4 linked regions of the Struthio camelus genome follow. The protein of the gene in region 4 interacts with the protein of the main gene of each other region in a pairwise test. Links are inferred from orthologs where the notes say so. Each region holds a gene or a part of one and is shown on either strand. Other genes may lie near its edges. The genes, in order: TBX15, DAB1, RBPMS and VENTX.

Evidence for each region.
Region 1: the proteins of VENTX (region 4) and TBX15 interact in binary tests that used the Homo sapiens proteins (3 or more experiments, as listed by UniProt). The two-hybrid records come from large-scale screens. The link is inferred for Struthio camelus from reciprocal best matches to the Homo sapiens genes VENTX and TBX15.
Region 2: the proteins of VENTX (region 4) and DAB1 interact in binary tests that used the Homo sapiens proteins (3 or more experiments, as listed by UniProt). The two-hybrid records come from large-scale screens. The link is inferred for Struthio camelus from reciprocal best matches to the Homo sapiens genes VENTX and DAB1.
Region 3: the proteins of VENTX (region 4) and RBPMS interact in binary tests that used the Homo sapiens proteins (3 or more experiments, as listed by UniProt). The two-hybrid records come from large-scale screens. The link is inferred for Struthio camelus from reciprocal best matches to the Homo sapiens genes VENTX and RBPMS.

The regions. Positions count from the first base shown.
Region 1 is NC_090942.1:91,668,459-91,676,174, reverse strand, and holds the start of TBX15 (T-box transcription factor TBX15), read right to left. Parts: upstream 3,015-7,716; 5' UTR 2,789-3,014; coding exon 2,587-2,788; intron 1-2,586. UniProt on the Homo sapiens protein: Probable transcriptional regulator involved in the development of the skeleton of the limb, vertebral column and head. Acts by controlling the number of mesenchymal precursor cells and chondrocytes.
Region 2 is NC_090949.1:33,984,662-33,992,518, forward strand, and holds the start of DAB1 (disabled homolog 1), read right to left. Parts: upstream 3,011-7,857; 5' UTR 2,944-3,010; intron 1-2,943. UniProt on the Homo sapiens protein: Signaling adapter of the reelin-mediated signaling pathway, which regulates the migration and differentiation of postmitotic neurons during brain development.
Region 3 is NC_090945.1:5,907,817-5,915,080, forward strand, and holds the start of RBPMS (RNA-binding protein with multiple splicing), read right to left. Parts: upstream 3,009-7,264; 5' UTR 2,926-3,008; coding exon 2,863-2,925; intron 1-2,862.
Region 4 is NC_090948.1:18,025,022-18,032,847, forward strand, and holds VENTX (homeobox protein VENTX), read left to right. Parts: upstream 1-4,822; coding exon 4,823-5,048; intron 5,049-5,334; coding exon 5,335-5,555; intron 5,556-5,687; coding exon 5,688-5,999; 3' UTR 6,000-7,521; downstream 7,522-7,826. UniProt on the Homo sapiens protein: May be involved in ventralization.

The sequences.
Region 1 (7,716 bases), on a different chromosome or scaffold from region 4:
ATCACACCCGTACCAATAGTATCGCCAGCAAAAGGAACGGCCCCGCGTTATTTCCTACGCTGTGCGGGAGCGGCTATTTTGAGTTTTGAACGCTGAGGACATTGTAAAACCTCTCTTTTTTATTTTTGGTGTATCACCAGAGATTTGGCGAGTTTTAAATACTTTAGGTGTAAAGTTTGTTCTTAATTGGGTCTTGTAAAGATGGAATTTGGTGGCTATTATATAGCTGCTAATCAATTTTCACCCAGCAGCAAAGGTATACTGCGGCGGATTTAGGTTTAATGAAGTGACTGTGCAAATTACACTTGCGGACTTTATTTAAAGTCTATCAACATCCTAAAAATGATTCCTCAAACTGTTCTTGATTTCCTTTGCTTTATGAAAAACATTACATTTACTTTCTAAGGTTTCCGGCATTACCAGCCGTTCTCTCCCGCTTTCTAGTCTGGCGCATGAGGGAGTTTTCCAAATCTTTATTTCGAATTCATGGGGAAAAGTGCGAGTTAAACTTCTAGAGCAACGAAAAATGTATCCTGTAGTAGCTAGAAATTAATGTAGAACGATTCTAAAAAGAATGAGCAATGCGCACATCTGCTCTAATATTGGAAAGCGGATTTTTGTCGTTTCGATCTCGTATTTGTTATTTTGTACGGGGAGCACTCTGAGATCGTGAGCAAATTTTTGGTGGCTGTTATTCTGGTAGGGTCTTTTCTCTCTCCTTTATGCCCGTCGCCCTACTAAGAGAGAGCTCCAGGAAGAAGATTTTACCTACGTCTCCTTAGGATCCGCAGCGGGAAGAGCTGCTGCTGTTACAAACAAATTGAAATGCGGTTCCTTGAGAGCGGAGCGGGGCGACGTGATCTCCGGAGTTCCCGTCTTTAGCTCCCTTCAAAAACACTTAACACATTTTTTACAACAGATTTTTTTACAGCTCGACCTCTAATACTTTCTCTGTTTTTAGTGATGGGTTTTGGACAGCTGGTCCTTATTGATATCTGGGGGAATCTCACACACACCCACAAAAAAAAATGTTTTATTCTCCAAGTTCAGCGGGTGGAATGGAGCAAGTGGAGTAAGTTGGTGCCCTTTCTCTTGCGCGTCCCCGAAGATAAATCGCTCGACCTTTTCCCATACCCAATATTTAAGAGAACAATGAAGGGAAATTTCCCCGAAATTCCCTTTATCCGATTATTACACTTGTGAGCGCAGGGCAGCTCGCTCGGTCCCTTTTCAAGGCACTGGGGAGCGGGGAGGGGAGACGGCGAGCCCCGCGGGCGCTGCGCGGGGCGGGAGGCAGCGCGCTTCCCTCCCTCCGCGCCCCTCTCACTTCACCCCCCAGAGCCGCCGCGGCATCGAGGCCGCTACTGCCGGACCCTCGTTTTAGGGACAAATAATTTGCCTCGGGGGACAAAAAATTACTCCAAGCCACTGGTTCCCTTTTAAATGAAAAAAGCCGAGGCCGGACTCGTGCTCTCTGCCCCCAAACACGGCGCGGCGACCTAGGCGCCGCGGCTCTGGCGCTACTCCTAATTCCCCCGGTCCCGGGGGGCGCCAGGCTCGGTACCGCGGGCGGGACTCTTTGGACCCTCCTGTCGCCCGCTGCCTCTTCTCCCGGGCTGAGACCCTTTTCCTCGCCAGGAAAAGTGACGGGGCAAGCCCGGTGCCAGCCCGCTGGCCCCGCGGGCAGTGAAGACGTCCCTGCCGGCCGGGCTCCAGCGGGCGCTGAGCGAAGGGGCCCCAGCGCAGAGCCCCGCGGATCCGGTCCAGGGGCTGCCCGGCCCGGCCCGGCCCGGCCCGCGCTAGCGGAACCAGGCCCTGGCGCTGGTGCCGGCGCTCCCCGGGCCGGGCCCGCAGGCCGGCGGGGTGCGCGGGTGCCGCGGAGCCCGGCCGGACCGCGGAGCCGCAGCCGCTCGCCTCGCCCCGCCGCCGCTTTGCGCGGAGGCTGCGCATCGGGACGGCGTCGGTCCGGCGCGCCCGGCTCTGCCTCCACCAAAATCTCCGGTTGGGACAGCACGATTTCCACGGGGCAGACTTGAGGGGGGGAGGGTTCGGAGAGGGGAGCGTTTGGAAAGCCGTACAAAAGAGGAGAGATCTCTCCCGCAGCGGTGAGTGTTGTGCCCCCCCCTCGTTTGCCCCCGACGCACCCCTGCAATGGTCGGGACGCGCCGGGGCAGGGCAGAGCAAGGCGAAACGCGCGTCCCGAGACACCCAGGAAGTACGAGCGCGAACGGCAGACACAGAGGGAGGGAGGAGAAAGGGAGAAGGAGGAAGGGGGGGAGCACGCCGTTCCCTCCCGGGAGGTCATGAAGTTAGGGGGCAAAAAGTTCGGAGTGGGTGGGAGAAAAGTCCCTGTAAACCGAAAAAAAAAATCAAAAAAAAAAAAATGTCCGCAGATTTTCCCCCACCCAAATGCCAGATGTTTTCCTGGACGCGCGGCTGGGCAGCACGGAGGAGCGCGGAGGAGCGCGGCGCGCCCGCGCAGGCGGGCAGAGGGGCTGCGGCGGGCAGCCCCCGGCCGGGCCAGTGGAGAGCTAAAGGCAGAGAAAAGGGAGTGGGGGTCGGCGTAGAGAAAGGAGTTGCACTAACCGGGGTTGAGGTCCAGGCACTGAGTCGGGTCTTCATTGTCCCCTAGCTGGCCATTGGGGCTGAGGCTTTCCATGGACAAATCCAGCCCCTTGTCCTCCCAGTCTCGCAGTTTCCTCTTTTTATTTGTCCCAATCAAGGCTTCTACTGAGAAAGCGTGCGCTCGGGAGCTGAGGGCCACCGCCGATCTTCGCCTCTCACTCATCTTATCCCCCAGCCCAGACCCTTGGGCAGATGAGCAACCAGTGGCTGGGAGCGCAGAGCTCGGGGACCAGAGGCAGAGCCTCTCGCCTCTTTCTCCCCCCACCCCTCCCCAGCTGCACCCCCAGAAGAACCAGCCCTCAGTCTCCTGAAGGAACTACATGAGGTTGCAGATACTCCGTAGGCAGAGCCGGGAGGGTGTGCACAGCCCAGGTCCCCAGCACTTGCTCAGAGGGGCTGCAGGCTGGATTTCATCTTTTTTTTTTTTTTCCTTCTCCCCTTTCCTTCTGTCTCTCTCTGATTGATCCAAACTTCTGGGATTTTTTTTTCCTCCAAGAGTTAGGCAGGCTGCGTGCGCCTGTCAAGAAAAAAAAATAATGAAAAAAAAAATGTCCCCGGCCAATAGGAGGGAGAGATCGAGAGAGACCCAAAAGCTGCAACCCAATGGGGAGGGGAGGGAGACTCGGGCTTCGGGGCTAAGAATTTTGGCCATCTGAGTCCTGGGACACCGGCCGGGAGAATTAACTGTTTGAAGAGCGGGGAGCCATTAGGAAACACATAGCTCTAAATGCAGAGAGGTAACAACTCCGACACTTCTCTCCTCCGCACCCAGATTTCCTAGGGACTCCTGATAACTAAATTCCCCCCCCCCACACTCCCCTCAGAGTATTCGAAAAGGGGCTTTAAATCCGGGGAGTGCAGGATGAGGGGGTGTTTTGAAAACGTCATTCATGTCATATATTACTTGTGTTTGTCGGTGAAGTCGGTGTTTGGCCCTGTAGAAGTACCATCTCGGGGTGTTTTGAAGTTTCCTTTCAAAACGACTCGTGTCTGAAGCGGCGTATCTGGGCAGGCGGCGCCGGCACGAAGCCGGTGCCGAGAGCGGGGCGCGCTGCAGCGGGGGCAGAGAGATTCAGACATCCTCCGGCACCGCGAGTGCCTTGTCTCTGGAAAGGATTTGGGGTCTTTGTTTTGGTTTTTGTTTTTGTTCTTTTTTCCCATTCCTTTTTGCCGCTATAGCTATATAGAGAGAACAATCCGCTAGGTACAAATCCCGGCCAGTGGTCTAGATGGCAACTAGCATTTCATTTCTGCTCGTCTCTTCACTCTGCCTTCCAGGCTGAGGTGGGATGGTAGCTGCTCACACACTCTTAGGTCGTGCGTGGCGCAGGGGGCTCGTAGAGAAAGGAAATAAGGGCTGCATTTGCAAAGGTGAAGCACCATGTGCTTTCACTATCTATTCGGAGCACGGAAAAAAATATGTGAAGTCAAGCGAAACACTGTCTAGGGAAAATATAACAAGTCGCCGGGAGTTAATTCGATTCCCAGGATCGAATGTAGCGTCAAAATAAATAATAAATAACTAAATGATAAAGGATGGAGTGAATACAGCTCAAGCTAAGATGAAAAAACGGGCGAGAAGAAACGTCAAGTTTGGGAATAGGTTGCTTTTGGTTGTCGGTTCTCACAGGCTCCCCGGAGGCTCGGCGTTGCTTTGAGCAGCGCCGGGGGAGAGCAAGGAGCTCGGGGGCGAGCCGTTTCCACGGGGCCGAGCGCAAGCCAAGGGAGCAGATGGGGGGCAGGTCCTCCAGCTGCCAGAGTCACCCCGCGATGCCCACGTTTGCTTGGCACACCAGGTCCCTTCAGGCCTAAAGTGCCGGGTCTTGCAGGCGCGACAGCGGACTGCCGCCGTCCAAACGGCCATAGCAGCAAGGAAAGGGATGTCGGATGAAAGGAGTGATTTCTTCACGAAAACCCGGGAAAGTTAAGGGCTGTTATCTAACTTGAGGAGCGGATTTTGCGCGTCCCCTTCGTTCCCCCTTCTCTCCCCTCCCCTCCCCCCCCGCCTATCCTTTCCCCTCCCCTCTCTTGGACATCGCCTTTGACAGGTCCCTTGCAGAGGGCTCAGCGCCGGGCACACGGGCGCTCCGACACGGGGAGGTGCAGCCCCCCTTGCACTGCCCCGCTCTCGTCTCGCCCCGCTGCGAAGGAAGCTTTTTCCCTGGCTCCAGGGAGAGCCGTGCAGGGGGAAGAGCGGAGGGAAGAGGAGAGCCAAAGAGGAAGACGCTTTGAGGAGGAAGCTTGGGTTTTAAAACCGGCACCGGGACTGTCTGCGGATGGGGGGACCCGCAGAGGGCACGTGCGTTTCGAGTGGGTCCCTCGGCTGTGCTCCCCACGGCGCAAAAATGCCCCCCAAATAAAAATCCGTTTCCTCATTTCCGAAAGCCTCGGAAACGCTCGTCTGGGAAACAGACACCGAGGGAGGTTTTTAAAGGAGCTGGAGGGAGATTTTAGAAAGAGAGCCCAAGAAAACACAGGATTATTTATAGCGTTTTAGCGAGAGGAAATGGTGTTGGAAAGGCTGGGCGATTTAAAACGAAATTTGGGGGCTGATGTAAGAGTTCAGAAATACATTTTGCCGGTAAAAACATGGTTTTAAGGGCCGACGGTTTAAAGCAGTCGCGGTCCCTTTTCGTCCTCTTTACCTGCGGCTGTTCGTGGTCTTTAAACTTTGTCGGACCACCCCGCGCCCAGCTCTGGCAGAGGGACCGCTTCGGAGTAGCGAGCAGAAACACAGCCGCGGTCCCATGTCCGACCGGCCCCCAACTGGCAGACTCCCAGGATCGGAGCCTTTGGCAAGGACCGGCGAGCAGCTCCCCACGGTGCCGCCGGCGGTGGCCGGGGACACAGGCGACACACGGCCGCCGACGGCCGCGCCTCTCCTTCCCTGCCGCTATGCCAGTGCCCGAGAGATTTTGTACAGATCGGGGTCACCCTACCCCCCTTTTTGCGGCGAGTGCAAGGGACAAACACAACGGCAGCGCTGCTTTTCAGCAAAAGCGGAGGAAAAGGCAACCTGCGCAACGCCCTGGCCCTCCCCGAGCCGTGCGGCCCCGCGCACCCGAGGCAGGAGATGTGCCGGGGGACAGAGCAGGGAGGCTGTTTGCGGGACAAACATCTCTGCCCCTGAGTTAAGGGGGCTCGTCCAGGGAAACCCGCGCTCCTCAAACCGGGAAATGAGCTTTCGGTCCGTTCTTTGCACCTCGGGGGCCAAGCCCGCTGGGCAAAACGCGTCCCCGCGGCGCCAACCCGAGGGCACCTGGTCCGGCGAGGCTCTTCTCTGCTGAATCACAAGAGCCCCGTTAAGGACCACGTTCCCACTCCCGGCTGCAAGCCGCGTAAATCTGGAGTCGGCCTGGAGTTAATCTGAATTTAGACACGACGCTCAGATCCGACTCTGACCCTTGGCCGCTAGAGAAGAATGTAGCCCTTTGCCTGGTCTTTATTCCAGACCCTGGCTCGCAGGGGTAGCCCCCATTAAATCCAGGAAACTGCTCCCTGGAATAAAGTGGCAGGAGCAAGGGTCGCAGGGCCAGGCCCTGGGGTTTATAAAGAAGTCATTCAGTGCTGCTTTCCAGTTGTCGCCGAGCGAGCCTGAAAATATTTGTTTATATATGGAAATATTTGGAAAAGAGAGAAAAAAGGGGAGCCGGCTGCGGGGTGGGAGTGCTGTCCAGATGTTCTGCTCGCCGAGGCTGAGCGGAGCCGGTTTCAAACACTACTGCACAACAAGGAAAACGTTATCGAAAGTCCTTTAGCCAGATCTAGCCCGTTTTTTTTTTTAAGTTAGTAATTGAAAACAATGTTAAAACTAGTCAGCGGGTGTGGGCTGAAGGCTGTCTGATAACGTCAGTGAATGATTTATTGGACTTTAAGACAACGTGGACTGTCTTTTAAAACGGATCAGAGGATCTCGAGACCGGAGCTATCGTAAAGAAGCGAGTTTAACGCGGACGCAGCCGCCGCTTGGAAACTCGAGCGAGGTGATGTTCCCGGGCTGCGCGGGGTCATTTATTGTGACAGCGAAAAAAAAAATACGCCTGCAATTTATTTTTATGGTCTACACAAACGGTATTGTTGCGTATTATTAACTAATTCATAATTATACCGCTATTATGCCGCCGATTCCTTCCCTCTCCCCTCGCGTTTCCCCGGTTTTCTCAGGCTTTGAGAATTGAATCACCGCAAAATATTTACAGTCTCAAGTGTTTTTAAATGGGCTTTGTTTGTGTTTTACAGAATAAAAATCTCTATTAGTGTTTAAACAAACACCATGCCAGTCTCTTAAGCCTTCCAGATGTTTGCAATAAAATGTCAGGTTTTGCCTTTGGGACTCGAAATAAAATTTAACTACCTTCACCCTGTAATTATTCTCTTAGCTCTCCCTTCATAAATTTATCTGCTTTCTATCAGGAGAGAAAAAAAATCCGATTATACACTTGGACTATAAAAAACAGCCACTGCTTTCCCTCCATTTTACCAGGACTTCACCCTCGCTTGTTTGGGCAGTACAGACCCAACGCGCGCCTATTATTTTTTGCTCTCCTGTTTTCAGGGCGGCGGAATGAGACCGGACAGATTCCCTTGTCCTGAAGCAAAAATATGCCCCGTGTCCCCGGGCCCTACCCCCCTCCCCCATCCCGGGCCACAGTGCTCCAGGAGGGGACAAGACTTGGGAACTAAAATTGTCCCTGAACTTCCTCCAGCTCCAGGCGTCGCTTCTTCGCAGACACTAATCAGACCTGACTGCATTTCAGAGCCTCCCCGTGGAGCTGTTTGGAAATAGGCAATTTCGATGAATAATTCAAACAAAGCAGGTTCCCTTCACAAGCAAAGATGAGAGCCCCAGCTAGAGAGCCCTCTTCCTTCTTAGATACTCCCTTAGAGCGACAAGAGCAGGCTTAAAAGCTATGCGCTTTGCATTTTCCACGTCAAAATTCAGAACAGCCGGGAGCAGCAAGAGGGTGTCTAGGTTTCTTCCTTCTTTCGTGCCTTTTCACTCGACAGCCTCGCTTTGCTTGGCTCCCGCGGGCCGCGGACTTTCTGCAGCCTGCAGCGCAAGAGCTGCTCGGGAGAGAAGCGCAGGTACAG
Region 2 (7,857 bases), on a different chromosome or scaffold from region 4:
ATAAGCCTGACATTTTTGCTGTTCACAGTTGAGGATTAATTTTATTAAACAATTTTGCAGTTTTCTGCTTCACTGACTGCATATTTCCTTGATAACATCCCAAGAAGGAAGGTATATTGTGTCTACTAACTTCTACCAATACATTGCTTCATTCAGGCAGCACTTGACCTGCATACACTTATTTTATTATAGTTCAGTTTTTTTCACTCTATCAGTTTGGTTCGATCTCTTCTGCATTTGCTTGACCTAGTGAACTATTCAGTTCACATGTACAATACTGCACATAACGTAATTGCTAAGTGTCACAAATGAATATCTGCAAGGGAACCCAAAAAACTAAATAAAGGAGGGGAAGTCATTATTAAAAAGGTTGAAGGGTCAATCTTCTGAAGTGCTGCTATCAGTTTGAATAGATAAACTCAGGACCTTTTCTAGGTTGCTTTTATGCAAAGTGTCAGCTTCCATAGATTGCTGGCCTCTAGGTCCCAGACTAAACATGTTACATTTGTATTATTATAAAGCATTATGCAAAATAAAGTGAGATTAACTTTCAATTATTTGGGTCAAAATTTATTCCAAATTGAAACTCATTCCCCTGCAGTGAACCAGGTCAAAGAATAAAAGCTCTCAAAAAAAAGATTTAAGACCTTGCTCTGACCCACTGACAGTGTCTTCACAATTTGTGGCCAACACCTATGGCTTACACACGGCTCAGCCCATTATTAACCTGATTCGTCACCTTAATGCATGCACAACCTCTTGCTCTGAGATGATTTCATGTATCCTTCCCATTTTCAGCAAAAAGCAGCTCCTTACCAATGGCAGGAATTGGAAGCCATCTGATTTCTTCACCTGATAAACACTAAATGCAATTGCTAATGCAGTAGCAGCCATTGTATAAAAAACAACCAAAGAAACCTTCCCCTGCCTCTCCTCCACTCTTTTCTCTCCTAACCTTGCTGCAAGGAGTCATTCCTTTAAGACTGATCTACACCTGTACTTTTCTGCCAACAGATTCAGCCAGCAGTTCAAGAGCTGCTATTTACTGGATGGTCACTGGAGATTGAGACGTGAAGCAAGCTTGGCTCTAATTTTGTATGTTTAACACATGGATAGATTTACATCCAACAAAACAATATACTTACCAGCCAGTGGGAATGGCTTTCAATATAGAGTAACAAATTTGATGTAAAAATATACATATATCTGGCATACAGCAAACACACATAATCCTAGTCACTTTAACTGGCATGGGAAACCAGCGGTGTCTGAGCTGTCGCCCTTGCCCCAAGCTCTCCTCCTTGCGATAAAGGAGTAACCATAAGCTGGCAGCAGTATGTCAGTCATCTATTAAACCAGCCATCAGAAGGGGAATGCGCTTTGTCCTTTGAACTGCATGATCTGACCAGCCTGGGACCAAATTCTGCCCGGTAGCTCTCCATAAAGGCAGTGGAAGCTGTGCAAAGGCATTTCACAGAAGAATTTGTCCACTGGAAAGCATGCCCCTTTGGCCCCGCTGCAGAGAGATTAACTGTAACTCAGCACATAGCAAACAATACAGTGGGGAAATAGGTTGTATTTTGTTCTGGCAGATCCTTAGCTGAACCCCAGTCTCCTCAGACAAGTGGTACACCTTTTCTGCAGTGCCAGTTACCACAAACTGGGAAGCGAGAAGAGGAAGCAGCCATGCTAATGTGGGTGGCCTCTCAATCCTTCAGGGGACAGAGGAGAAAAGCCATGACACATTCTGTCCTTTGCTTTGAATTTAGCTTGTGATCCTGGAATAAGTGCAATACCCTTAGCAATGCCGTTTGAATTGCTGGTGGATAGTAATCCGCAATGGTGCACTCTGCCTAGGAGAAAGGCAAGCAGCACATCTCTGAGCGAGCAGGAAGACAGAACAGCCTTTAATTCCTGCAGAAGGGACTCTTCTCAAGTCAGAAAGAGGTCAGTCATGGGACAGAGCACAAAGAGCTTGTATTCACACAGCTGTAACTCTCAGGGGCACTAGGTGCCTTAACCTTCACAAGTGCATTTCCCAGTTAGTCAGAAGTTACATGGTAAACACACAATTTAAAGAAGTAACACTTAAAAGAGTGCAGTATTTGTGTAAAGAGCTTGATTCTGCCAGTGTGGCTGCATCACCCTTCTGTCCTCCGAGTGGCATTCCACATGCAAAGCCCCAAGAAACACATCTTGAACTGAAGAATTAATAAGATTGCTGGCATTTTTAAATGTCAGTCAGTTTTTACATAAGCTCTCTGCCTGTGGAAAAATGGGAGAGTCGCAATCCATAATTGTCCAGCAGGAGCGTCTCTTTTTAATGAAAACGCTGAGGATTCGTTTAGAGGATCCTCGGGAACGGTCACCTCTTGCACTGCTGTCGTCTGGGGGGTTGCCCCCAGAGGTACTCTACAACATCAGTGGGGATGTCAGCCGAGACGGATGATAAGATTAAGTGCTACCCTCCTCCAAGGGTAGACATCAGCACCCCCACCCCCACCTTGGGAGGATCAGCAACGATAGAGCAAAGATCTCCAGGGCTGAGGAAACAAGGAGGTCAGTGACTTCTCCCTGGCAAATATCTGCCTGGCAGACAGCACTACATGCGTGCACTGCTGCCCCTTGCTCCAGCACTGTTTTCTGGCAGTGCAGGTACCGAGAGGATGAGGGGAGTGCAGAGGGATTTAGCTGAAGCAAATGTGCTTCTACAGCTTTCCCAAATGTTGTGGGAATGGCAGAGAGAAAAGGGGAAACTAAATTTTTGTCTGCCTTTAAGTTTCAGTTCAAAACTCACGTACCCAGATTCTAGACGTGATGCGAGGGGTTCAGATGTACAGCTCCTGCTGAACACACCCAAAATCATGCCTCTAAAAATCCACCTATTTTAGAAAATTTCTGTTGTATTTTAAAAAATATTATCTGATAATTGCAGATTCTTACTATTCGTTTTCTTGTAGAATCCTTGTTCAAGTGGCATCATCAGCAAAGGTCTCAAAGCAGCCTGCCAGTTACCGCTCACTCCTGCACAGAGACATACGAAGAAAATAATCTAACCTTTTAATTCCTCCTGTTTTTATTTTTCAAAAATTCAGCCAGGACAGCAAGCAGACAAACAGCAAGAAACAGTGAATGTCGTTGCACTGTGTGTCCAAGTTCATGGCAAATATGGACACAGATTAATGAGTCAAAAAATGCCTGGAACAGAGTCGGGACATTTAGAAGTAAATACATATTCAAAGTCAGCTCAGACTCTGCTGCTAATCCTGCAGCCACAGGGGGTCCCCACCTGAGTAGGGATATGCTGATCTTGATTGCTCGTGTGACCTTTCCTGCCTGTACTCCAGGGCCACATGGTGGGCAGAACAAGCTGCTTTTACGCTGCACGAAAGCTGCGAGGTTAACCCTGGAGGCAATCAACACGTCTCAGCCTTGGCATGACTGGGACGGAGTACATCACGTTACTGCTGGTTATCAGGAAACCCTCTCCAGTTCCTAATTCACATATGTACAAATTAATGATCCTTATCATTTCTATTCTGACAAATGTGCAAGCCCTTGGATGACATGCAAACTTCAGCTTTCACACTCATTTTGAGACTTAAATCCCTCCAAATGGGCCCAGTGAAACAAGTTGGCTGCATGTGTAAAAGCAGCCACAGCCTTCATCCCCAGGCACTCAGAGAAGCCAGGGCAAGGTCGGGGGGAATTCAAATGGTTTCCCTTTGAGACCCAGTGAAACTTTTACCCAAAGCTGCATTTATCAATTAAGGTAACCGTTCTCAATGTATATGCTCAACAGAAAAAGGAAATACGATTCAGCGGTTACTGTAGTCACCTGAGAACGTAACACCATCCGTCCCTACTCTACGGATTTCCTTCACGGCGCTTGGCAACTCAACTTAGGTTGCATTCTCACACCAGGAACAAGTTGCTTGCTTGTCTTTAACTAACCCAAACTAGTTATTCGGCTGCAAAAGTTGGGCTAATAACATTGCTATAGAAATGCAACTAGAGGAAGTCTACCCTAAGGACTGTTGTGCTTAGCATAGTCATGATAAACATGCAGTGCTTTGTCTCCAATGGGATTTTACATGAAGAAAGCTGTGTCTGTGTGGAGAAAATGAAGATATTTCTTCTCCTTTGGCAGAAAGGATAAAAAATAAGTGTCTGTGTCTTGTTTAATAAAACTACTATTTGTACTTTATTTCTGTACATGTGTATAGGAAAAGGTTGTGCAAGGCTGCTACAATAGTAGTGATGTTAGTTTTTCCCTATTCTTTATCATTTGAGCTTTTTCAAAATCCTCAGCAGCATCTCCGTCTGACAGCCTGTTACAGCATCTGGGGGAAAAGGGAAAACATAAGCACAAAAAGCCCAGAAACGGGCAGGCCAGAAACAGGCCAGGTCAATAATATTTTATAGAAAATACAAAACATTTCTGTGTTTGAATTTAGGAATAGGCTGTCCCCATTTACAGCCCAGGATTGCGTCAATGATTGCTAATAGACCTCTGTGAAGAGTACAAAATTACGTTGATTAGTTTCCAGCAGTGCCATTTGCCTTTGCAAAAGAGCCTGAAGCAGAAGGAGTGTGAGAGCTTGTCCATGCTGTGTGAAGGGAACAATTCAAATTCCACAGTGCACTGGGGAACCACATACAGAACCCGTACCTGTGACAAAGGCGCCAGCTGAGCGCGTGTGCGCCGAGCAGCCGGATTCCTCTATGCAAATTCTTACCTATATTTATTGTCCATTTTGACCTGGGAGGTTTTTTTAATGGTGTTCACCTCCTTCTAAATGATGGCAAAATCTGCTGGCTACCAGTGGTCAAATGCATTATGCAAAAAAAACTTCTTAATGACAGTGAAATGCTAAATGCAAATAAACCTGCTTTTCATGCAGTCTCGCCTGAAAGAGACAAATTGACAGTAATTCTCCCTAAAATACAGGGAAAATTGCTAAAAGAGATTTCCTGTGTTTGCCCTAGATGTATTTTCACTTGGGTCACATTTTTACTGACAGCTCACCAGCAGAACTGGAACAGAAACTCTGCCAGACTGATGTCAGGGAAGGGGATACTGAATGTTGCACAGAGAGAACGCTCTCTAACACTTCAGCAGGACGGAAGGAAAGGGGCCAACCACACGTTTTGAGAGCTCAAGGAGGGCTTGCAGGATGCAGGGTTCATTCCTGGCTAAGACACAACAATCTCCTGTGGCTCTGGATGTACAACTTGGACTTTGTTTCAGAGGTGTTAAGTTATCAGTGTTCCTGCCTTGACACTGCTGGAAAATCAGCTCTGTGATCTCTCTGTGACTAAAATCTCCCACTAGGAGAACAGCGATACAATATCTCAGAATGATAGACAAGGATACACTTATTAACGAAGCACTCAGATATCACAGTGATAAACAGTATTGAAATACTTGGGCGGGCAAGTGGGTATTAAACACTAACAGAATTTAGAACAATCTCAGCAAACATGATGGTTTTTTACCTCTCATTGCTTTCATTTCAGCCTGCTGCCATGTAGTGACTGCCTGAGCCACTGATTCAGCAAAAACCAAAACCAAGACTTACTGTTTCAAATGTCAGAAACGGGAAAAACATAAATCTTTTTCAAAATGTGCAGAAATACTCTATGCACTGTGATGTGAAAGGCTGCTTTTTTGCTTTGCTGTTCATCTTAAGAAAAGAATTGCTAAAAAGGATGTATTCACTGCATCAAACCAAAAGCACAGAAGGTGCAACAGCTGCCATAAGTGTGAAATATTTGAAATAATAAAGCCTGCTATGCCAACACTGCCGGCAACTGCAACCACTAATGTTCAACCTCAGTTGTTTCACAGACGCTGGAAAGAACCTTTGCAATTATGAGCAACTCAAATCATACAACAGGAGTAATCAAATTCCTATCATATAGCTCTCATCCACTGGGATACGTTAATTCAGCCAATCTCAGTCATATGCAATTTAATGATAAAACATTCCTCAGCCCCTCCTTGGAGCACAGTGAGACTCTGGCAATACCGCTGAATCAGCTGAGAGACCACACACACAACGTCAGCGATGCCACCGCATCACTGTTTCCCATCCTTGTCAGCCATCCTTCCCACAGAGTGGGCTCCGCTGCCCTCATCACCCTGCTCGAGAGGAACACCAGCCTGGCGCACACAAGGGAGGTGACGTTCACAAGCTGCAGCGGGGAACAAGCTGTGTCCGTTCGAGTGCTGGTACAGCTTTCCGTCCTTCTCTTCTCGGGTCCCTTAGCAACGTGAGGATGGACAGAAAATACACGCTCAGCATCCCATTCTCTCTCTCTTCTCCTTTACCTGTTACTTCACCCTTCTTTCGCATTCTGCAAGCCTGCTGCTGCCTGTCCAGTGTCCTGCACTGAAAGCACAGACTAAGTGGAACAAGGTGTCGAGCACAGGCAACATTACGAATAAACAAGGCTGTCTTGTGGAAGGGCCCAAGCAAAGTTGAAAACAGAAAGAACAAATCTCTCAGGACTAACAGCTCTGAGTTAAGAAGAGGTCTAACTAGCTAACAAACCATCTGTTTCCTCTTTGTCTTGCTATGTGCATGGTTATGCATCTATGTCTTAATTCTCTGCATTTAATATTTGGCACTAGCAAGTACATTTTAATAATAAGCCCCTCCTAAGAATTATTGCTTTCACATATACACACAAAAAGAAGTCAAATATTGGTCTATTTTCCATCTTACTATCCCTACCTAACAAGGCAGTTTGACAAGCAGACTGACAATAAAAGCAATGCAGGGTTTCTTCTTCATGCCTGCCTACACACCACTCACTTCCAGGCTCTGGAAAAAAACGTTTGCTGCCTGCTGTGCTGGTCTGCCTCCTTCCACAGAATAACTGCCCTGGAGACAGCTGATGCGTCTGCTTTGCTCTTACCTTGTCCTTCACCTAAATGGTACGGGGTTTTAGGTGTATTTCTTAGTTATCTCAGGAAAAGGCTTGCGCGCACACACACACACACACACACACACACTTTATATGCTATTGCTAACCTGAATTTTTGTTAACTTTTCAGGATAAAGTGCATACTGTGAGTCTGATTTTCAAAGGTGACACTCTCTAAACACACACATTCGCATTCACAGTTAAGCACAAAACAGTAGTATTCGTTTTTATAGTCACTTGACCAGACACTAATACTGTGGCAGGGAACTGGGGTCAGTCAATCTTTCGCTATGTATGGCAAATCTCACAAAGTAGTAGTACGCATGGAGCCAGCTAAAATAAAATAAGAGTCTGGGTATGCGTCACACAACACTATCAATCTAAAATGCGCAGTCGGGAGCAAGAACTTTTAGAAATTTTTAAGGAAAGATTACAACTGAGTTCTCAGGGAGATTTAGGGCTCAAGGTTCCCTGTTTCTAGAGAGAACAAAAGAAAAGCCATCCATCACAACTGGTCAGGACTATGTAGGGATGCAGGGATCAAAATGACAGGGAAGCACGCAGAGAAAGGAAAGCAGAGAGACCTACGAGGGGCAAGAGTGGAACGAGGGCTCTGCATATTGACTGAAGCTGCTGTCCCAACTATTTTTGCCTAAATGTTCGCTCAACAAATTAGCAGCCAACAAAATCTCCATTTAAGAATAAAACCAATGAGCTTTCCCATCTGACTGCCTGAATCCAAGCACCCAGGCCACAATTTTGAACATAAAGGTGACTGCCCTCCCTTTAGGATTTGAGAAGTGCTGGGAAAGAAAGATAACCAGTGTGTCAGGAGGCCAAACCCATAAAGCTCACAGAGTGAAAGAGATATGAGCCTTAGATAACCTGTGTTGGAGTACTGTCACTGAAGCCATTCTTGGTAAG
Region 3 (7,264 bases), on a different chromosome or scaffold from region 4:
CAGCATGGGGGGGCTGAGGGGAGGGGAGCGCCGTGGCAGCAGAGCCGGGCCCGGAGGAGGAGGAGGCAGATGAATCCGTTCCAGGCCACCGCGCTGGCTTAGGGCTGAGATAAAGCCCTAAAATACGGAAAGTGGAACTTCACCCCCTCCTCCCAGCGAAGGGAAAAGCGCCCTAAACACGGAGCTGGGGCAGGAGGAGGAGAGGCGAGGAGCCCTGGCCGGCGCTGCCCCTGCTCCCCTGCAGCGGGGTGCATTCCAGCCCCGCGCGGATTAGCCCTTACGTAAATACTCTCTCCATTAATGGAGTGTTCCCTCGGTTTGGTTTAGATTACCGGGCTCTGTGTAAGCATGTCACAAGCCCACAAAACTCACTGACATAAACAAGACTTCAGTCAATGAGGCCCGAGATACTTGCTTTGCAAGTGGCACCGCGTATGTCCCAGGCCTGCGTGTGGCACACCTGGGTCCACACGGCGCCAAGGATGGAGAAGGCACAGGGCTCCATGCTCTGCACCAGGCCACGCAGGAGAGCGAGCACAGACCTCTTCCAGACAGGGAGGTCTGGGCTTTCCTTCCCTCCGCTCAGACCTCCAGCTCCACAACCTGGAGCCGCTTCTCAAGATCACCAACAAAACCACTGCTGGGGTAGGCAGGGAAAGCAAGGAGAGGAGCAGTGTTTGGGAAAACAAAGTCAAGCGAGGGCTGAGGACAATGTGGGGGAGCTGCTCCGGAGGCGAAGCTGGAACGAGGAAGTGAGCAAAAGAAAGCAAGAAGCCAAGGGAGCAGATGGGAGATTGCAACAGAGAGGCTGGATTGCGGGCCGGGGCTGGGGCCTGAGGTCATGCACAATTGTGTCATTGCTTGGAGCTTTCCTCCCAAATCCTCGAGACCGGGCATTTCTTAAAGGAGGGAGGGAAGCACAAGTACATGGGAAGCGACGCCGAACCACAGGCAGTTCCTGACAAGATAAAGGGAAGTCTTCGTAGCTCCACCACGGGGCGAGGTGGCTGCGCAGGGAAAGCTTACCGACTTGCTGGAGATGTTCCCGCTAGGAAGCGTCCCCAGGGGTGCCTAGCCCTGCTCGTGCCACCCTTTCTCTCCCCACCCTGGCTGCCCCCTGCCCGTGCCCGAGCCCCCCACAACCTCCTGGGACGATACAGTCAGCAACGCCAGCAGCGTTTCCACCAGCCCAGCCGCGCTGTGCTGGGAGCCGCGCTGGGGGAGCTGGCACGGCCATGGAGACAAGGGCTGGACTCCCTGGAGCTGCTCCGCTACCAAATAAGGCCTCCGTCTATTCTTTTACATGCCGTTCTCGCCCGGCCGTAGCTACGCGACCTCTTTTCCAACGGCTCTACCCCTGCCAGGCTCCTCTGCCGGGACCTTCCAACCCGCGGCTCACCCACGCCAGTCAGCGCTGAACGGGGCTGGAGCGACAGGGAAGGGGATGCCCCACGCATCCTGCCCGTTGCCAGGAGAGGCTGGAGCAACTCCCGCGAGCCCCGGGAAGACAAAGGAGAACTGGCCGGACTTATCCGAGCGTCGGCTTAGGCTCTGGGCCAGACCCGCACGGAAACCGGGGGCCCATCACACGTCGCAGCACCGTTGCTTTAACCTCCGGAAAGCCTGCGGGTTTCCCTGCTGTGGGAGCCCACATGCCCCGACCTCCCGCCTTCCCGGCACAGGATCTACAGCCTCAAGACAGGGTCTGCTTCTTCCTCTTTTGGGGTAAAACACAGCATCGGGGGGAGAGGGAGGGCACAAAGTTTAAAGAAAAGCCCTCCGGCATGACCTCCCAGGAAGGGGAGAGGTATGCACAACCCAGTGGCTAGGCAACCCGCTCCGAGCGTCCTTACGCAAATACTCCCAAGCGCCAGCGCTTCCAGCCGGCGCCGGTATAAGCTTGTGCCAGCGAAGTACCTGCCGGCTTGGCACAGGAGGAGGCAGGTGCGGGAAGGACCTGCCATGGTGGGAAAGGAGCCCAGCTTGCGAGCACCAGCAACCGGCCCCTTCCTAAAGCCACGCTCGCAGCACAGAGCAGGAACCCAGCACCGCACGGTACCACCTGTCCGTCCTCCCTCTCCAAGCCCGCTATGATACGCTCCTGGGGCCGATCCCCTTCTTCTCTTCGTGCCCTGGTGGCACCTGCTGCCATCACCCCTCCCCGGGCAAGACAAAGCCCTAGGGACGCGGCTCCTCCTTTCTCAGCACCTTTGCCCTTGGCCCACACAGGCCCGGCGCGGTCCCAAAGCAGTTTCCTTCAGCTGCAACCACGCTCAGCACCACCAGGTTGGGGCAGGGACGGTCCTGACGGTGTCCGACGCCTTGCAACAAAAGGCCGGGGTGCATTTTTTCCCCACACGCCTCCCTCCCCCTAACCTCTCCGCGTCCTTCAGCGGCCCCCAAGCTGCTTTGGGGGCCGAGGAAACAGGCCCTCCTGCCCCAGCTCCAAAGGGGTCGAGCAGCACCACTTTGCCCTGCGCCGCCGGAGCCTGCCCGCCGCTCCGCCCGCCTTCAGCCGGCAAATTCAACTTTGTTGGGACGACGCGGCCAAATAACCCCTTCCCGGACGCTTGCGGGGGGAAAAAAACAAAAAAATAACCCCCCCCCCCCAAAACCCCAAACCCCGGCTTCACGCTCGCCGATGCGAGAGGTTTGCCCTGTTTCGGTCACCCCCACCGCCCCCTTCAAACTTTCTGGCCGGGCCAACGCGGATGCCCCCGTGTCACAGCCCGCGCGTCCGCCGCCGCCGCCTCCGCGGAGAGCCGCGGCTCCAGCCGCACCTCTCCCCCCCGCCACGGCGGCCCGGCAGAGGGGCGAGGAGTCCCCGTCCCCACCCCACGCCGCCCCCCAGGACCCCGCTACCTCCTCCTCGGGCAGGCCGGGCTCGGCGGGGCCGCCGTCCCGCTCGGCGGGGAGGTTGCTCATGCTGCGTGCGCGGCCAGGCTGCTCCCGCCGGCGGCGGCGGCGGCGGCGGCGGGCGGGCGGGCGGCGGCGGTGGTGGGAGGGGCCGGGCCGGTGGGGGGCGGGGCGTCTAGGGCGGGGGGCGGGGCCAAGGCGGCGTGGGGGGCGGGGGCGCCGCGCGCGTGGGGCCGCCCAGGCGCTGGGGGCGACGCTCGTCGCGTTTTGTCGCCGCGTCCGGCTTGTGCTCCCCGTCCCTCGTCAGTCGTCTGGCATCAGATGCTGAAAGGGGCTGGGGGGTGGCCCTGCTCATTTCCAAAAACCTGCCCCGGCATTCGGGGAAAAGTCCCTAAAAGCGTCTCCGTGCGCGCCAGGCGAGCTGACGCTTAACGCCTCCGTCCGTAGCACCTTTCCGCGGGGGGAACAGCGAACCTGGCAAACTGCCTGCGTCAGGCGGCGGCAGCGAGAGGGGCTCGCGCAGCACGTGGCGTGAGCGGGGCCGAGCCGGTCGCCTCCTCCCGAGCAGCCCTCCAGGCCCGAGGAGGCAGGCTGGCCGAGGGGATTAGACTACGGAGAGCTAAACAAGTTTTAACGGAGGTCGGGATTGCCCCCGGGGGATAAACGGCCCCATCAGCAGATAGGAGGGCCACGCGCGGTCCTCAAGGCTCAGCCTGCCTTTCTGGAGAGAGCGGCCAAATCGAATACAGCTGTCCGTCTGCGCGTCGCCCTGGGCCGCTCGTCCTACCCACACTGGGGCCACTCGGGCGCGGGCGGAGGCTGCTCCCGCGGCGCTGGGCAGGCGAGGGGACGCGAGCCCCTCTCTTCCGGGGGGCTAAGTGTCCCTCCCATGTGGCAGCGCTTACCCGAAATGCCCCCAACGTCACCTGGCAAGCTTCCAACCTCTCAAAAAATGTTCCCCTACAGAGCAGAACTTGTCCTGGTGGGAGCTAGATTGAAACTAGCCGTGCGGTCCGAATTTCCGGGAGCGGGGAGATGTCCGGCTGGGATAGCAGGTGGCCCTGCGAGCCACCTGAGCAGCCTCAGGGTCAGAAAGAGCAGGCAGAGGCCCGAGCACTTCTAAAAAAAACATGTTACCTTGGTGAGCAGGGGAAAAAGAAGGGACCTCACTCACCACCGGGAAAAAGATGGGATGGGGGGTTTTTAGCAGAGCGACGGTGCCCCTGGTCTGCAGGCTTCTGCAGAGTTGTGGCACAGGTGCAACCTCACCATGCTGGGAAGAGAGGCAATCGGGATTCGTTTGAGGACTGGTGTCTTGGTCTCCCACCTCTCTCTCTTCCTGGTAGGACGGTGCCTACAGTCAGAAAACCTGAGCCACCACAGTTAGAAATCGTGGCCGGGGCCGTTGGGATAAATTCAGTGTGCTGCTGGATTTACCTGTATGTGCTGTTCATTATCAGAAGGTGAGTGAGCAGCCCAAAATCAGTATCAGCCCTGGAGAGAGCCGGGGGTGCAGGATCCCGCGGGAACCTGTCGTGTACCGTCCGTGCTTTGCTGCTTTCTCCCCAAACATGGTGTAGAGCTGCTCAGCGGCTGCACGGCAATAGGGCTGTTGCTGGGAATTTACCTCAGAGGAAGAGATTTTGAAAATTTGCCTCATTTTTAGGACATGAGGAACAGCTGGGTTTAAACCACTCCCAGGGGAGAGAACCGAACAAATTTAGCAGCATATTCTTCCTGGAGTTGTATGTTTGGTTTCCTAGGATAGGGCCCTTATAGGCCTGGAAATGGCCCATTATCCATGGAAAGTTTGGGATGGGCTGGTGGGCTTTTTCAGCAAAAAAGTCACTTTTGAGGCACAAGCCTAGTGTAATATTTACCAGCCCTCTGGGTGCCTCTGTAATAAGAGAGCATTTCTGTTTCTGTCAGAATTGTATTAACTGTTCAAAGCTTTCTTGAAAAGCAATCAAGGAAACAAAGAAGCAGAACAAATACGAATGAAAGCCTGGGAGTTAAGAAAGAAACCTGGCCTTTCTTTACCTCTGAGAGGAGAAAACCCCTGTAGCAGCTATTGAGGGCGCTGTTGTCCTACAGGGTATGAAATTTAAGGTGGCTCGAGGAGGAAAGGAGAGATTTGTTTAATCTTTCCCGTGCCACGCCACAGGTTTTGCCGAGCGTACTTGCAGCGTGCTTGCTGTCGGAGGAACGCTTTTGCTGACAGCGGCGCTCGACTGATAGCCCCTTAGCTGGGCCAAGGGGCCCTTTGGTGGCTACCCAGGCTGCTTCCCTGCTTTCCCCTGCGAGGTGAAGACATAGCAGGCCCCTGTAGCTCTGAAAGCGAGCATGAAAAGTGAGCAGAAAAGAGGCTTTTCCACGACTGCCCAACAGGTCAACTCAGGCTAGCGTACGAGGCTTATTTTTTTCATAGGTGGCTTCAAATGACCGCTTCCGAGCGTGGACCCGCAGGAACGTTGTGCTTTCTCGCAGCAGCCACCACCCGGGGCTCTGCACTGGTGCAACTTTTTTGTTTTTCCAGCTCCAACATGTCTTTTTTTTTCAATTGCCTGTTTGAAACCACGCTGCTAAGCACGTAAGAGGCATTATTTGAGTTCAGTGGCATATATGGAAGTCCGCGCGGTTCACCCTGATTTCATTACTTTCTCTTCCATTGTTTTCAACTGCAAGATCTTTCTGGTCATCTGAACAAGAAAACTTGGCGGGGTCTACCTCAATTAGATGGAAACTGTCATATTTGTGACAATATTTGCAGCCCGTATTTAGACTGCTTTGGAGAATAGCCACACAGTTTCCAAGCAGCAATGGGCCGCAGTTTGGAAATTCAAGGCCCAAATCCAGCTTTTTGATATCCCTGTAAGTTTAAGGAGAAAATCTTATTAGTTGTAGTGCACGTTCCCTCGCTTTTATGTCAAGCCGTGCTCTACCTGAAATCCTCGGTTCCAAATCCGTCCGCATTAAAGTTGCAAGCAGGGAATGCCGTAGCAAACAGTTTCCTGCATCTCAGCTGAAGTTTGGGGTTCCAGTACAAACAGTGGCTCTTGCTTTCTCTCCTGCGAGAAATTCTGTTCCTTCCAACACTCAGTTTTGTTCTGCATTGGGATAAAACTGCAGAACATATTTTACAAAGGTAGAAGGGAAAGTTATGAAAAACATCTCTATGGGTCAGCGTGACATTCATCTGCCTGAAAACTTGTGCACATCTGAAGCTCCCCAGAAGTGCAGCAGACGGCCATAGAAGCTGCAGCTGTGCTCCAATCTTGCCACAGCGCCGAGTGAATGGGCTGAAAAGCAAGCTGAACAGAAGGCAGTTTTCAGCGGTCAGAGGAGAGAGGGTGTCACCACTTTTCTAGCACTTGCTGTCTCTTACAGCCTACAGGTAAGTGAAGAAAAAACAGGCAGGTATCGGACTATGCTGCGCAGTGTTGTCAGTAGTTCTGCAATCCCATGGAGAATAATTGTTTGGAAAAAGCTGACTTAGTTGTAGGAAGAGCCAAATGAGAGGGAGGAAATCTTGTGTATTGATAACCAGTTTCCGGCTGTTGAATAAGACGTGCCACTTTGGCAGGCTCTGTGCCCCCCCTGCCCGGTGGAGTCACAGAATCTCAGAATCACAGAATGGTTGAGGTTGGAAGGGACCTCTGGAGATCATCTACTCCAACCCCCCTGCTCAAGCAGGGTCACCTAGAGCATATTTCCCAGGATCACATCCAGGTGGGTTTTGAATATCTCCAGCGAAGGAGACTCCACTACCTCTCTGGGCAACCTCTTCCAGTGCTCTGTCACCCTCACAGTCAAGAAGTTTTTTCTCAGGTTTAGGTGGAACTTCCTGTGGTTCAGTTTCTGCCCGTTGCCTCTTGTCCTGTCGCTGAGCACCACGGAGAAGAGACTGGCCTCATCCTCTTGACACCCCCCCTTCAGATACTTGTACATGTTGATGAGATCGCCACTCAGTCTGCTCTTCTCCAGCCTGAACAGGCCCAGCTCTCTCAGCCTTTCTTCATAGGAGAGGAGTCAAGTACCATGGCTTCCTCTATCATACCTGTACCATCGCTGGCTGTAAGGCCCACAGCGTATCATAAGCATATAGTGCTGACAGCGTAGGGAGCTGCAGGTCTGGCTGCACCTTGTCTCTCACATATGTGCAAACGCTTAAGCAGCACAAGGCCACTCGGGAGAGAAAAAGGAGCCCTGAAGAGGGCGGTGTGAGGGACAAGGCTTTGAGCAGGCACAAGATGGGGGTGCTGCTCTGCCCTACACAGACTCACTAATGAGCACCAGGGCAAGGGCTTTCCCTGGGAAACCTGGCCCAGGCTGGGAAAGATGGATGTGCTCGACCAAGAAAGCCTGCCTGCGAGTTCTGCGGGGAGCCCCGCTTGCTTCTGCAGGTGGC
Region 4 (7,826 bases):
CACATATGGTCTTTTTATTTCTCCTGGAAAACACCTCTTATTCTGTCAAGGAGGAGAGATTATAATAATTGATAATAGAGAGCTTGATTAAAGGCCACTAGTAATGCTTTTAAGTCCTAAAGAGTGATTCCTCAGAAATTACAATGATTGGATAAACGTACCAGGGCAAAACCCACATAAATCATATGGCACGTACCAGCAGCCCTTGCTTCCCTGGGCATCCCATCATAGAAGTACTACAGTTCTGCAGATGAACACGCAACTTCCTGCATGTCCTAAGAAACCCTTTTTGCTCTTTTCATTGCATCACCACCCAGCTGCTCCCAGAAGCACATGCTCACTTTGCTGTAGTCTCACAGGACTCTCTATGAGAAGGGACAACTTGCTTTTACAAAAGGAGAGTGCCTACCTTCTGTCTTGTGTACCCCTACTGCAGCAAGGCCAAGTGGGCGGCAGCTTTCTCCAGCTCAGCTGCGGTGGGGACCTCAAAGTACTTGGTAGCCCAGAGGTACTCTTTCTCTTCAGTTCCTCCAAAGTTTCAGTGGGAAGGGGATATCTCTGAGCACAGTACTGCCCCTCTGCTGGGCTGTGACCTGGCCCATTGGGGCAGGGCTGGCCTTTGCTCTGCAAGATGTGGAGCAGTAATTAGTTTTCAAAGGCTGGGGCTGTTATCCTGAAATATATCTGTTATCAACTGCTTAATAGGGATCCAAACAGGAATAGCCAGTTCTGCAGAACCTCCTAAGCCTGAACCCAGCCTTGTGTGTATACGTTTTGATAGAGCTGCCTTGTATAAGCACTGTTGTCTTGATCCCATCCTACCTGTCCCAGCCAGACATCTATAAAGCCGATCTTTCTTCTTAGCCTCTTTGAAAGCAGCTCCTGCTCACAAGAAACTTAGGGGATCTATATCAAGTAATAAATCTCAACTCAGTTTAATTCTCCAAGATGCTAAAATGTTCCCTTCTACATCACCTCCCCAGAACGGCATGGCCTGGACTGGCATTTGGCATTTTGATCCTCAGTCCCCTTTGATCATCAGGAAGTTGGTGGTCCTTATTTTTGTGGAGAAGGTTCTGGCTCCCCAGAGAGAGCAAGTGTCTATTGAACAAACATCTACATGAAGTATTGTCTTCATCTTCAGCAAATGGATCTTAAGACTTCTGCTGTGGCAGTTATGTCTGTATGTCTGAGCTCTTTATCTCTACTTCCTTGTAGCAGCAGAGCTGGGAGGACCTCTCCGTTCTCTTTATGTCTTTGGCAAAATTCCCAAAGACTTCCGCATGAGCAGGTTCTCATCCTATTAGAAATATCAATTGATTTTAAAGATGGTATTTTCTGAATCACGGTTTAGCAGTAGATTTTCAAACAAACACCTCATGAATAATGCATAGAAACAGAAAGAAGGCAGCTTAAGAAATGTAGATAAAATTAAACTAGCAGCTATTAAATACTGTAACAGTCATTACATCTAGAAGTAATTTGCCATCTAAACAGAATATTTAAGCTCACGTTTTGTGTAGAAGGGAACATTTGGTTTAACCTTGTCAGAATGGGATTGGTTTGTGTCTCTGAGAGCTCAGCCTTTGACACCATCTTTTGGCTGTGACGTTTGTCTCAATAAAAGGCAATTAATAAACCATCAGTGTATGAAGATGTCATTTGCAGCTCAGATGGTGAAAATGTATTAAAATCTGTAAAGAAATTATGTGACAGATGTATCAGTGGATGCTAAAACCTGAGACTTTCTATTTTTCAGAACACCATCGTATGTCATGTATTGTGTCCTACCCAACAGCTTGCCAGTGCCTTTGTTCTTTGACATAAAATAAAGATAGTTAAAAGGAAGTCTTGCAGACAGACTACATGTACAGGTATACATTCTGTGTGTATAAGTAGGTGTGTGCATAGATTATGTATATAATATTTTATATTACATAAAATTATATAATATTATATAGAGACTAGGAATGGAAATAATCCTCTTCCTGAGCACAAGAGACCAATTTATCTCCTATTTGGCCCCGTCTATGATGCAGAATGCTGTTGAATTAATTAAGGAAATTCAAACTGAGAAAGAATCCTGCAGAAAAATAGCACTTCCTTTTTTTTAATGGTCATGAGAATTTAGTCCTTGAGAAAGACATTTTGCTTTTTTTTGCTCTCGCTTTTCCCAAGGAGGCTTGGCTGGATTCTCTGGGCAAGCAAAACGGCACTAGTATTCCCAGTGCTCACTGGAGATGCTGTTGCCAGGCCACATGCTAAGTATAGCTGACTCAAGGGACTTGTCATTCAGCTCTATTAACTCAGTTAACAGAGTAGATTCTTCTGTGCCTCCTCTCCGTATACCTCCTACCTGTTTGGTCAGGTCTATGCAATATGTTGGCACCAGAACTGGCTGATAAGTAAATGCTTAGAAAATCTGATGTTTTAGAATATTTCCTCAGGCTTGGGGGTGGGGGGAGGGGAGGGTAAAAGTCTTCACATTTACTTATTGAAAAAGGTAGTTAAGAACCTGTGCTTGAAGTATTCCGGGGATGGGGTGGCGGAATGTATAAAACACAGGAAATTTAAAATTAATCTTGTGCAGCTTGGACAAGTGAAGTTTCTCAATTTTCTATTGTTAATCAGAAAATGCTTGGGATGGATAAACAGATGAGTTTTTAAGTCATTAGATATGGATCAGAGTCTTTCACACAGCTGAGAAAACTAATGTAGCATCCTGCAGAGCCTTGTCCATGCAAGAGGCATTTGTGGACTTGTTTAGGCATGCAACAGACGTACAGGAGGCATTAATGCTTGAACCTCTGCTTAGACGTTTTAACACCAGTACCCTTAGTTCCCTCCAGGAAGCATATTTAGCAGGCTCAAGGGTATGGCTGTGGTTGTTTGTTTGTGATGATTTTTATGAGAAATTTATGTTCAATTCAAGTGTTTGGCCTGTATCTAGATCCCTATGTGGCCAGAAACAAAGGACTCCAGGAGGACTGTGGTCATGCCTGGTTGTGGTAGTACCCACAGATTCTGGATTGGTTATTAGCCACCTTTAAATAAAGGCAACAGCTAGATTCATATTCTTGTTTGTCTTATCAGACAGACAAACACTCAAACAATGGCATCACTGGTAGAGCAGAGGACTCAGACTATGCCGCAGGAATGAACAAGCAGGGAGAGACTGAGCTTAGAAGGGGCTCATAAGTCAAACTTGAGCTTCATTCAAGGAAAAATTTGCTAGTGAGTGGAAAACCTTAGGAATTCATGATGGCTGGATATAGCAACCACATTGTGAGTAAATAGGCGGCTGAAATGTAGGTTTTAGGAAAGATGAAAATAGATTGAGTAAAACTTTTTACTTATGGATATAAAGAAAGAGAGGTATCTAAGATTAAAATGGAATAAATAAATTTAGTTTAGACATAAACTAAAAAAATAAGTAGGAGGGGTTCACTCCTCAAGCCCTCTATCTCTGACAGGCCAAGAACTAGAGCCATGGTTACATTGACTGTGATCACAAATGAAGTGAACGCTGAGAAATCCAGCAGGAGTGGCAGAATGACAGAACAAGTCACAGGTTAAATGAGCAATGAAGCACTGGGTTTGTGTGCAGATGGCAGAGGAAGAATATAAAGAGGAAAACCAGAGCAAGGACAGGCAGATTAGACATGCAGTTGTGATTTCCGGAGGCAGACTAATGCCAGGCAGGAGTATGATAGGAATTATCAGAGATATAATTGTGCCGGTAGAAAGTCCCACTCTGTCCTAGCACAGGAGGGGAGGGAGGGGAAATAGGAGAGGATTCATGGTTACTGTACAGTGGAAACTGTACAGTGGAAGCACAACTGTCAGTAAAATAGCAGGGCCACTAGAAACCTTTTGTCAATGTACTGCAAAGGCATTACTGCAACAGCCAAGTGTTCCTAGTGCCCACAGAACCCAGAGATGGATGGGAACGCTCCTGAAAGGCGTTCTTAAGGAAGTAACAGGAAAGCCAGGGGGAGTAAGATAGCAGGGAAACCTGTGTAACCTGCACAGTTGGAAAGATCTGGGAGGGAAGATATGACATAAATCCTACAGCCTCAGCAGAAAGTTAAGGGCATAATTGTCTTTTTCTGATTCTTTAGTTCAGAAAAAAACACTTTATGTAAGCAGCCGAGAATAAGCCGATTGGTACCAACCAACAGGCTCGACCTTTACCTTTTTTTGTTTCACAGCCTTCTCCTCCAAACCCTTCTCCCCGTGTGTGGTGTTTATAACCTGGTGCAGCAGACCCAGGAGAATGCGTTCAGTGAGTCTGCCCACCCGCCTGCCTCAGGCTGTCTCGATAGCACGGTACTCAGCCCAGGGAGGAGCAGGTTTGGGAAGATCCCTTTAGAAAGTGGAACTTCTGCTTGAAGGGAGAATTGAAAAGTGTCATCTCTCGGGGAACGGGGACTGGGAGCCCCCGGCGATCCCGGTCCTGCCAGCACCTGCGGGATGCTGGTCCCTGTGCGCCCCCGGGATGCATTCCCCCGCGCCCTTTGAGGCCGCTCAGCGCTATAAATGCCATTTGCATGGGGATAGGATGTAACAAGTGCTGTAAATCACTGACGGCAGAGTGAACTCCTCCAGGGGCAGACACCGCGGAGCCGAGCCTCTTCGAGCTGTGGCAATGTGTGAACAGTATCTTTTGTTGAGGGGGAGGACTGATGGCAATTAGATGATACTTATCTGGCCCTTTGATGTGTATTTACACAAACAACGTTTTCCTCCGGGACTTGCGGTATAAAGGAGGGGCCGTGCTCCCCAGCACCCTCCTTCCCGGCAGCTCCGAGACAAGAGCAGGATGACCAAGGCCCCTTTCTCTGTGGAGTGGCTATCCCAAAGCAGCCAGGCCCCCAGGAACCCCGCCGAGGGTGCTCCGCGTCGAGCCGCTTCCGCGGCCGCGGGGCCCCGGCCCGACTCCGGCTCCAGCCCCGGCCCGAGCGAGTGGAGCGGGAAAGAGGGCGCCGGCCCGAGGGCCGGGAGAGGCGGCAGGAGCCGGGAGCGCCCGGCCGGCCCCCCCGCTGCAGGTAACCGCGGCCTCCGCCGCCGTCGGGGCTGCGTGGTGCAGTCCTGCTGGGGACAGGAGGGAAGGGCCTTGTGCCCCCAGGGACCGGAGCCTGCTCACCCGTACCTGTGCCAGGGCCTGTCCGCAAATTTCCCCCGGGGAAGGGGCGCCTGGTCCTGTTTCCTCTCGCCCTGCAAGGGGCAGCGAGCCTCCCCGGAGCCCGGGGAGAGGGAAAAGAGGCGAGCGGGCTGGCACTTCCAGGGACCCCAGGCCTGGCTGATCCCCCTTCTCTCTCGCCCTGTCGCCAGGAGTAGGTGAGCGGGCGTGGGGAGCGGGGCAGCCCCCGGCAGCGGCGGAGCCCGAGAGCGGCAGCTCCGAGGAGCCCGGCGGCCGCGGCGCCCGGCGGCTGCGCACGGCCTTCAGCGCGGAGCAGATCAGCACCCTGGAGAGCTCCTTCCAGCGGCACCAGTACCTGGGGGCCGCCGAGCGGCGCAAGCTGGCCGGCAAGATGCAGCTCTCGGAGGTGCAGGTGAGCGGCGTGGGGTGGGGTGGGGTGCGGATGAGGCTGGGATGGGGATGGGGATGGGGATGGGGATGGGGATGGGCGCCGCCGGGGGAGAAGTTGTGACTTCACCCCTCCTCATCTCACTCGACCCTCCAGATCAAGACCTGGTTCCAGAACCGCCGGATGAAGCTGAAGCGGCAGCTGCAGGAGCTGAGGCCGGAGCCTTTCTGCAGCCCCCCTCTCCCTTACGGACCTCAGAGCGGGCTTGTGCCCTTGCCCCTCGCCTACGCAGCCCGGCCGCCGCCGCTGCCCCGGCAGGAGGCCGCCCCCGGCGGCTTCGCCTTAGCGGCGCTGCCGGCGCATGCCTTGGACCTCAGCAGCGCCTGCCGGGCGCAGCCTCCGGGCTTTTGGGCAGCGCCCTGCTTTGTAGGGTACCGGGATCCCAGAGCTTTCCTGCTGGGCGTCTGACCCGCTGGCATGGACTCTACCTGAGGAGGATTTGCACTAATGCCAGCGATGCGGGCTGCCCCGGTCTGTAACTGGCTGGTGGAGCTGTGGTGAGGCACAGAGCAAGGTATTCTACAGAGACTGCATGGTCTGGGTCGTGGACTTCAGGCCCCTGCGTTTATAGGCAACGGTGTAAAATACAGACGTGGTGGGGCCAGTATTAATACAAATGGAATCTCTTAATAAACCTAAACACTTTCCAGCTTTGACCTGACTTCCTTCCACAAGGATTGCAGAGCTACTTATCCTGCCCTGAAAGAGACCACCTCCCTATGAAAGGAAGCACGGACTCCTTAATCCTTAGATCTGCTCTGGCTCTGGTGGGAAATCTGAGTAGCCTTTCATTTGCTGAACCCTGAAATTTACTGAGGAGGAGTGTAAAAAAACTATGAATTTCCCCCCGTTCCCTAAAACAGGAGACTCCTTACCCCTTCAGGTACTTCCCAGGTGGCACTTTCTATGGTGGGATCATGTCTTTAAGCATGCATATATGGATGCATCTTGACCTAGTTACAAATATTAAATGCTGGGCTTCTTACAGCAGCAGAATGAATCCTTTCTCTTGGACCCCTTTAAATACCATATCATATACAATTTCAAGATGTAAAAAGCTATCTCTTTAGTTAAAAGTATTATGTAAGCACCTCCTCGCAGTTTCATGGGGTGGCCTCAGTAGATTAATAAGCACCTCTCACCTAAATAGGCCTTGGGAAGGATCTGGACTTGCATTATCATTTGAAGAGTCCCAATAACATATTATCTCGGCATCTCACACACACCTAACAGGGTATGAGAGTGATTATCAAAATAAATGCAATTGTCCAAAGCTCTTTGTTTAAATAGCTGTCAATCTGTTTCATGAGCATTGTGCTATGCATTTTTTATTTGAATAACGCTCTAGAAAATTCATGGTCAAAAATGTTCTGATTTCAGGGTAGAGAAAGAGCTGTGAGAATTGATCCTTGACTGATGTAAGTTGTCATAAATCTTTTCAAGTCAACTGTCAACCGACATGAAAAGACCCATAAAAATTTCCATCAGTTTAGAATCAGTCTCCGGGGTTATTAAAAAACTTCCGGTGCACTTGCAATCTGGGCTCATATAATGAATTGTTTGAAGGTTCTCTGTCGGTCATCCTTGAATGCACCTATTTTCTTTTTTATGCAGGGGCCAGCCTCTTGCTTGACTACACTTGCCTGGTTCACAGCAACACTATGTGCTCTGATTTTCTGAGTAGCTGTCGCATTTGGAAGTCTCCTTGATTATTTTGTAATCTATGTTGTATTTTTTCAATCCTTTGAGATGTTGCTATTTGCTTGCACTTGCGCAATTAATACAACTCTAATCTTTGTTTTGAAGGATTTTAAGAAATGTAACAAGAGTTCAGCTGCTATTTATCTTGTTTAGATCTTTCCAAAAGTGTGATGCAGTTTGGGATTAAGAAAAGTTGTTTGTCACGAAATAAAATTTCCCACTGAATGGAGTCTTATTTCTCAAATTCAAATTTAACTAAAACGACTATATTGATCCAAAGGAGGGGGGATCTGAAATTCTGTCTCTGTCTCTCTTTCGAATGTAATTAAGGATTCAGTTGTTTCCAGAAGAGCTCTGCAATGGCAGATATGTTTTTCTAACACAAGCATATTTTAAGGATAGGTCAATAACAGTCAACAGTCAAGGTCAATAAATGCACAATTTACCCGCAAATAGTCTGGAGTGTTAAACTCGACTTGGCTGCCCCTTTTCAAGGGGACACTGGTAGAGGTCACCCCATGTAATTTTGTATGG